2 linked regions of the Sus scrofa genome follow. The protein of the gene in region 2 purifies or fractionates together with the protein of the main gene of each other region. This does not show direct contact. Links are inferred from orthologs where the notes say so. Each region holds a gene or a part of one and is shown on either strand. Other genes may lie near its edges. The genes, in order: STX12 and VAMP5.

The links.
Region 1: the proteins of VAMP5 (region 2) and STX12 purify together in Homo sapiens (affinity purification with mass spectrometry; 3 studies listed by BioGRID and IntAct, with this or other methods). This does not show direct contact. The link is inferred for Sus scrofa from reciprocal best matches to the Homo sapiens genes VAMP5 and STX12.

What each region holds. Positions count from the first base shown.
Region 1 is NC_010448.4:84,917,543-84,921,917, reverse strand, and holds the start of STX12 (syntaxin-12), read right to left. Parts: upstream 3,092-4,375; 5' UTR 2,962-3,091; coding exon 2,844-2,961; intron 1-2,843. UniProt on the Homo sapiens protein: SNARE promoting fusion of transport vesicles with target membranes. Together with SNARE STX6, promotes movement of vesicles from endosomes to the cell membrane, and may therefore function in the endocytic recycling pathway.
Region 2 is NC_010445.4:59,182,862-59,187,290, forward strand, and holds the start of VAMP5 (vesicle-associated membrane protein 5), read right to left. Parts: upstream 2,843-4,429; 5' UTR 2,366-2,842; coding exon 2,363-2,365; intron 1-2,362. UniProt on the Homo sapiens protein: May participate in trafficking events that are associated with myogenesis, such as myoblast fusion and/or GLUT4 trafficking.

The sequences.
Region 1 (4,375 bases), on a different chromosome or scaffold from region 2:
TATGAAGAGGAAAGAAAGAGAAAGAAAGAAAGACAGACAGACTGACGGACGGAAAGAGAAGGGAAGGGAGGAGGGAGGGAGGGAAGAAGGAAAAGAAAAAGTCACCTGTAACCTGTTGAAGCGTTAACTGCTACAAAACTGTAATATTAATTAAAAACTATAAAAAGGCTAAATGCTGGTCATAAGACACAGATCTGGTTTCAAATTTATGTTTTGCCATTTGCCAGCTGGGTAATTATTTAACTTTTCTCAGCTTGTTTCCTAACCCCTTAAAAAGAAGTAATATTGGTAATTGTTTCACGGGGTTGTTACAAAATTAGGTAAAATAATGCATGTAAAGCACTTTTTTTTTTTTCTTTTTATGGCCACACCTGCAGCATATGGAAGTTCCTGGGCCAGGGGTTGAACTAAGGCTGCAGCTGCAACCTATACCACAACCACGGCAACACTGGATCTGAGCTGCACGTAGGACCTAGACCACAGTTTGCAACAACACCAGATCGTTAGCCCACTGAGCCAGGCCAGGGATTGAACCTGAATCCTCACAGTGATGATATCAGGTCCTTAACCTGCTGAGCCACAGCAGAAACTCCTATAAAGCTTATATTACCTGGCATACAGTATGTACTCAAATGTCAGTTATTAATGTTATTAATAGTTGAATTCAATTATCCACTTGAGCCTGATGCCCACTTTTCTTGAGGCCCGCACCTGCAGCATATGGAAGATCCTGGGCTAAGGGCTGAACTGGAGCTACAGCTGCAGGCCTACACAACAGCCATAACACTACCAGATCCAAGCTACGTCTGTGACCTACACCAGAGTTCATGGCAACACCAGATCATTAACCCACTGAGCAAGGCCAGGGATCAAACGCACATCATCATGGATACTAGTTCGTTAACCACAGAGCCACAATGGGAACTCCCCTCATGCCTGCTTAATCAACAGATAAACTTTATCAATTCTATCACCAAAGATACCTCTCCTATCCTTTCCTTCCTTCTTTGCATTTTCAGTTCCTACCTGGTGTCCATGATTCCAGTCGCTCCCTTCCAACTCAATGTACATGTTTCTAAAGAATTAAATCCAAGCCCCCTTAGTTTAGCACTTACAGTCCTCCATGTTTGGGCCTCGACTTACCTTTCCAATCCTATTTTCCACTACTTTCTGGAATTCACCATTCTAGCCAAATTAAATCACTCTACTTTTCTATACACACCACACGCTTTCCCACTACTGCACCTTGTTCATTTTATTCTCTTCTTTAACTGCCAAAAGTTCAAATCCTTCCCACCATCTTTCCAAACCTAGCTCAAATGCCCAAACACCTCCCCCGGCCCCTCCCAAATGAAAAAGGTGTCTCTCTCCTGAATATCTATAATTTTATTACACTTCTTCTATAGTACTGATCTCTTTCAACTTTTTATTTTGGTTGTTATGTATGCCACGGATTCCCTGTTAAAAGAACCCATGCCAGTTCCTATACATACTACATGCCTGATACTCAAACAGAAGTAGAATGAACATTTCACAGATAGACATTAAAATGAGATTTGGCCTCAACAAGAAACTTTCAGCCCTGAACGAGAATTTTCTGATCTAATCTGGGCTACGGCTCCCTCACAAAAGGAAATTGGAACACAAAGTACTATACTTTCTAACCAGTGGTCATATTAATTTTTGTTTGAAATTTCTGCAGTTAATAGACCACATATTCTTCTTTCCACTTTCCAAGCATCCAGGCTCAAACGCTTTCCATCAGAAACTTTCCCTAGCTCAAAATTCTACATTATACATTTAAATTTAAAGCAAAGTGATAGATAGAACATAACTGTAATTCAGGGCCAGCTAGTTCTACTTATTAACAGAGGACAACCAAGCTCACAAAAACACAATAAAAAACAAGGATGATGATGATACCATTCTTTCCAAATAGTCGCTGCTGACCTCTTGTTTACAAGGTTCTGAGCTGATTTTCAGGCACAAGAAATAGCTTGTATTTGACTCATTCAACTGCAGTCTCATTCAGACCCTAATGTTGGATGGTGTGTAGTTTTAAGACAAGCAATGACATTCTGAAATCCACCACCAACTCTGCCATGTCTTACTTGCTAGCTGATGGAGACTAAGTCCCTTTGCCTGTCTCATGTTAGTTCAAAAGAGTAACTAAATGGGGAAGGAAAACAAAACCCTCATTGGCTTGAAATCCAAAAATATATGCATATCTTTTGCTACAAAGACAACGTAAGTTGAAATGTTTTCGGTGAAATCTCTTTATTAAAGCAGAATCTCACCCCTTAAAGTCATTGTGTCTGATTTCAAAATCCATTACAGAAAGAACTGGGTTAAAATCACCAAAACATATGCACTCTCCACTTCCCTTAATTGAAAGCTGCTGACGTCCAAGAAGCCAGAAGCTGAGCAGAAAGTAAAGTCTAAACCAGTAAACAACTCCAGACCCAGACCAAAGAGGAAAGAGAGGTGGGTGGAGGGAGGCAGATGACAGGAAAAACTCGGCTGACCACTGCACCACGTCGACTCACTTAGTACTCTGGAGAGGACACATATACACCCTCCCACCCCGGAGTTGTCAGGACTGTAGTCCTGGCCCCAACACCTTTAGGGCAAAACTCTTGAGAAGAAACTCGAGCTTCAGCTGGGGCTAGGGACTCTCAGGGAGCCTGGGCCTGGCAGACTCGAGGATGGCAGCCCGCCGCACCCAGAGCGGAGGGCCCGAGACGGCCTCGGCTGTGGCCTTGGCCGGGCTCCGCGTCCCGGTAGTCTCACCCAGGCCTGTCCCCAGGATGGTCCCCGCCCCCCAGCCCGGTACCCCGGCTCACTGGCTTGGCTGATCCGCTGGATGTTGCCACTGCACGTCTGGATGATGCTGTTGAAGTCCCGGAGCGGGGGCCCCGAGGCCCCCGGGTTCCGGTACATGTCTAGGGGACCGTAGGACATGACGAGGAGCCGAGACCGACTTGCCCTGCACCGCGCTCCTACCGGAAGCAGCCGCCAGACCCGACCCGCAGGCTGACAGGGAAACCGGGAAGAGAAAGGGCTGGGAAGGGGATGAAGCTGCGTGCGCACTAGCCCCGCCCCCTCGCGGCGCGCACGCGTCCGTCCCCGACCCGACCGGCCCCACAATGCGCAGGCGCTGTTGGAACTGGTGCCGAGATGGGTAGCTTGGAGACCTGACGCTCTGGGGCTTGGGGATGCAGGGCGGAGCGATGACATCATACCTTTGGGGCTCGGATTGGAGGATCTGGGGTGGCGGTGTTGTTTATCGCCAGGGCACGGTGACAAGAAGGCAAGAATTTTTCGATTAGCATAAAATTGTACCAGATGATCTCAGCCCTAACGTCCTATTCTGTTCTATTCTGAGACTTCAGGCCCAAATATGGGAGAATTTGATAACCTTGAAGCTCAGATGCGTAACCAAACTCCTGAAATCCCTCACTCTGCTTCCAGCCTCAAAGGCTTTGGTAGGATTTGTGGAGAACTTTTATGGTTTACAAATCGCTCTCATTCTACCACCCCTCTTGTAGTCTCGTAGTCTAAACAATAAAACGATAATAATAATGGTAAGATTTATTGAGCACATATTATGTGTGACCCCTCACTGCAATTCAGTTGTTCTCTCTCTCTTTTTTTTTTTTTTTTTTTTTGCCTTTTTTGCATTTTGAGTGAATGACCTCAATGTTCCCATAAAAGACTGCATTTTGTAAGCGTATGATAAATGGAAATACAGGGGTAGGATTTTGCTTTGGGAGGAGATCAAGATAGACGTGAAGGCGAACTGGCAGTGTTTGTTTCCTGTGTTCTCCACCGCACCTCACACCAAGTCTGCTTTACTATCTCTGGGAAATAGCCAAGGCAGGAAGCTGCTTGCCTGAGTTGGGGGGGACACCCCAAATGGGTGAATGAGCCTGCATTCAGCCTTAGAACTTTTGTAAGCAAGGCTATCTCTATTTTCTGTTAGAGCATTTGTAACAGAGGTTTTTTGTTTTGTTTTGTTTTGTTTTTTTCTTTTTAGAAAAGGACAGATGACATTTGACATTTAGGGGCTCTCATTCTGGTTATTAAAACCCTACCATTTCTTAGAATCCATAGTTTTATGTCATATAGCAAATCATGTAAATTTTACTTTTTTACCTATAAAATCTTCTTGAGAATGTTTTCATTAACATTTGACTCTATTTAAAGTGAAGTTTGGAGTTTCCGTGTGGCTCAGTGGTTAACGAATCCGACTAGGAACCATGAGGTTGCAGGTTCGATCCCTGGCCCCACTCAGTGGGTTAAGGATCTGGTGCTGCCGTGAGCTGTGGCGTAGGTCACAGGGTCTGCTCAGATCCTGCGTTGCTGTGGCTATGGC
Region 2 (4,429 bases):
CGACTCCAAGAATCACATTCTTAACCCCTATGCTGAACTGGATGCAGGTAAAGAAAGGCCAAATGCTTTAGCTGGCTGGCTAAAGACTCACCAGACCTTCTGATGCTGCCAGCTCAACTTGTGTGCATGTGAGTTTGGCTCAAAACTCAAATTCTTTGCACAGGGCCTGAGAGAGGACCATCTATGAGATGAATGATGTCAAGTCATTACTCATTAAATTTCTGTCTTTCCCATCAATATTTTCTTCCTACTCTGTTTCCTATGCCAGTCACCATGCCTGGCACAAAGAAAATGCCCAAGAAACACTTGTTATGTGAGTGAATCAGAGAAGAGGAGGAAAGAAGGGAAAGGAAGGAAAAGAAGGAAAAGTAGGCAAGGCAGATGTGAAGAAGGAAGGGAAAGTGCCGGGGGTTGACGAAGGGGCAGGAGTGAAAGAAAAAATAGGGGTGGGGGAGTGATGAACGGGGTGGGAGGGGCAGGAGGAGGTTGGAGTTGGCACATGCGCATTGAGATATATGGAATGATTGGTCAACAGGGACCTGCTATATAGCACAGAGAACTCTACCCAGTATTCTGTGATAATCTATGTGGGAAAAGAATCTTAATGAGAATGGATGTGTGTACAGGTATGACTGAATCACTTTTCTGTACAGCAGAAATTATCACAACCTTTTAAACCAACTATACTCCAATAAAACTTTAAAAACTGGAAGAAGAAGGAGTTCCCGTCATGGCGCAGTGGTTAATGAATCCTACTAGAAACCACGAGGTTGGGGGTTCGGTCCCTGCCCTTGCTCAGTGGGTTGACAATCCGGCGTTGCTGTGAGCTGTGGTGTAGGTTGCAGACACGGCTCGGATCCCGCGTTGCTGTGGCTCTGGCATAGGCCAGTGGATACAGCTCCGATTCGACCCCTAGCCTGGGAACCTCCATATGCCACGGGAGTGGCCCAAGAAATAGCAAAAAGACCAAAAACAAACAAACAAACAAAACAACAACAACAACAAAAAAAAAACCAAAAAACTGGAAGAAGAAGAAAAAAAAGAAAAAAAAAACAGAGGGAAGGAGCGAGGAGATGGATGGGAGACAGGCATCAGTGTACCCTCCCTGGGCTCAGATGCATCATTTCCTCAGATGAACCTGTGAGAGTCCCAGAGTTTTCCAGTACCTTCCAATAAATGATCTTAGTCTCAGCCTTGCAGAGTTTCCTCTTCTCTCCAAGTGCTTAAGGGTTAGCTGCAAGCCTACCCTAACCCTGCCTGATCCTTTGCTCCACCCGCTGGGAAGTGGGCTCTGGGGTCTGTCCTATTCTCCAGCCTCCCTCAGTTTCCTGGCGTGGCTGCAGAGCTCCACGCTACCTTCCTGCCCCGCTTCCTCTTCCTGCCTCCAGGTCCCTGGAGATGAGGCCATCCAGGCATCCAGACCCCCAGCCAGGCCACATCCATCACACCTCTGCTGGCTTTCCACGGGCAGAATCCCAGTACCCAGCCTGCTGGCGCCTGCCGGGGCCCAACTTCCAGGGAGTTCTAGCAGAGAGAAGCCTCCAGTACCACCTATTCTTGACACCTTAGCCTTGGAGAAGGCAAGTGGGAACAGAGGCCCAAGTCTACAGCAGGAGTGGGGGATGACTCAACTTAAGAATGTGTCCCTAGATAGGGGCTAGAAGCAAGTCAGGCTATGCCACCCCCTGATAACTTCAGTGGAACGCTTACAGTAAACATCTTCCTTTCTCTTTCCCCAGGGGGAGGAGTTTGCCTTCCAACACCCTGGCACAGGGGCTGGCATGGCCTCTACCACCCCATCTGCTCAGGTTTCCAAGCCCTGGGCCAGACTTGGCTCCTCACAGCTTCAGGAAGGGCTGAAGAGGTCATCATATTACCCACCACTTCTCAGGAGCAGGTTCTGAGTACCAGGCAGCTCTCTGCCACCGTCTCTCCTCTAACCTTCCGAGGACCCAGCAAGGCTGTCGGTATTGCTGACCCCACTTCACCATGCGGAAGAGGAGGCTCAGGGAGGCTAAGTGACTTGCCCGGGGTCACAGAGTGGGTAAGTGGCCACCAACAGGATCTCTGCCCGGAGTCTGACACCGAAGCCGGTGCTTGTAACCACTTGGCCCCCTCAAGTGGGAAGCCAGAGTCCCGTTCTCTTGGCGCGGAGCTGCGGGGACCCGCGCACGCCCCACTTTCCCTCCCGGGATGCGCGAGGTGAGCGGAGGGTCTGTTTTGGTCCTGCTCTGGCCGGCACTACCTCGCTGGGGGACCAGCGCGGGTTCCGGGAAGACGCCCGGGCCCTTGGACTTCGTTCTATCGCCTCGCACTCCCACGTCGCTCGCCCTCTGCCCGCCGCCCAGCCCCGGGCTCTCACCATCGTCGCTGCTGCCGCCACCTCGTCAGCTCCGGCTCCTCTGCCCTCAAGCGGCCGCGGTGCCAGGGACCAGGGAGGAAACGGAGGGCGGGGCCGGCTCGGCGGGGGGCGGGGGGCGCGCGATCCCTGCGCCGCGACCGTGACCAAGACAAATCGAAAGCGACCGGCGAAGGATTCTGGGCTCCGGGGCCGGTGCCTCTCCCTGCGCCGCCGCCGGCGCCCGGCCGCGAACGACTCCCCAGCCTCGTGAAGTGGGGGCTCTGCATGGACAGCCTGGTGCCAGGTCTACACCTCGGGGGCCCGCTGGAGTGGGCTCTGGAGTGGGCTCAAGGAGTCCTCTCTAGAGCTGCATCCCAGATCTGGTAGATCGGGTTGACCTGGGGAGGCATCATCATTTATTCATTCAACAGGAACCTGTAGGAGTGCCACTGCCCTGCCCTGTGCTAGGCGCTGCCCACCTTGATGAATGCAAATTACCCATCACCCTAAAAACGACCTCCTCAAAGTTTTGAAACCAAATAAATTTTATTCACAATAAATGGTATTAATACACTACCTGCCACTGGATTGTACATTATAAAACAGTCGATTGTATGTTTTGTGAATTTCACCTCAATCAAAAGAGAAAACAGAGAGCCCCTTCCCCAACCCTAGTTCTAGCTTTTTCTTTACTTCCCTTTCACCACGTGCTAAGTGCAACCCTGCCCTAATATGCCCCTGTTCCTCAATGGGAGGATGAGGGAGGTTGGTGTGTCCAGTCCTTCCAGAGCCTTCTTGAGCTGGATCCGTCCATCCTCAGCCTCTCCTTTCAGTGCTTCAGGGAAGCCACCTGCCACCTCTTCTCCACCGCACCCCTTGCCACCCCCAACATCTCAGAGGTGGCCCCTTTTAAGGAAGGAGGCTTAAAGTTCCCTCTCCCTGGATGAATCCCAGTGAACAAAGACCCCACCCCCACCCAGGACGGTGAGTCTGGGTTGCAATGGCTGAGGCTGCTCGGAGCTCCAGTCCAGGAGTGGACTGAGGACAGGGGATGGACATGGTTGTGACAAAGATCACAGCAAGGAGTTCCCGTTGTGGTTCAGCAGGTTAAGAACCCGACTAGTATCCATGATAATGCAGGTTCAATCCCTGGCCTCCCTCAGTGGGTTAAGTATCTGGCGTTGCCGTGGACTGTGGTGTAGGTCTCAGACATGGCTTGGATCCTGCGTGGCTGTGGCTGTGACGTAGGCCAGCAGGTCCAGCTCCAGCTCCAATTCAGCCCCTAGCCTGGAAACTCCCATATGCTGCAGATGCAGCCTTAAAAAAAAAGAAAAAAAAAAAAAAAAAAGACTGGGGTGGGGGTCTCATCTGTGCTTTCCTCCCTTCCTAGTTTTCAGAGCATGATTCTAGAACCCAACTTGCCAGTACTAAGTCTCAAATCCTGTCTCCCACCCCTGCCCTTCTGGACTCCCTCCCCCAAACAGGTTCAATTGTGGAACACCTATGGGGGAAACAAGGACAGAGATGATGAAAACCCTTCCCTCAAACCAAGGCAGACTGGGTACCGGAAAGAGTGACAATGACGATGGAACCTGGTAGGGAGGAGGGAGGCCCAAAGACAGAGAGGCCCATTGTCCGTCGAGGGGAAGGAAGGCCATAGGCCCTGTCCTGTGACACTGACTGTGCCCGGCCACGGGACACGCGTGAGATGCTTGCCCCCTCAGGACAGCTGAGACCCAGAGGCCCTGCTAAGCTCCAGGAGGGCAGGGGCAGACAAAAGACAAATGGAACTTGCAGAACCACAGGAGACGGAAAAGCAGTTCAGTTCCTCCAACACCCCGCACCCCACCTCCCACCTCTAGAGTACAATAGGGCCATGGAAGAGAAAGAGCACTGATGGGAGGGGCAGGAGGCCCTTAACCAGACGAAAGGGTCAGCCCAGGTAGGTTTCCCATCTCAGCTAACACTTCCCGCAGAAAAGTAACAAAGGAAATGGCAAGAGAGGGCCACTGGGAGTCTTACATACCACCCTAAAATGTTGGGGGAGGTTTTGAATTTTCTGTATGCTGAGACCTCCAGAAAATTCCT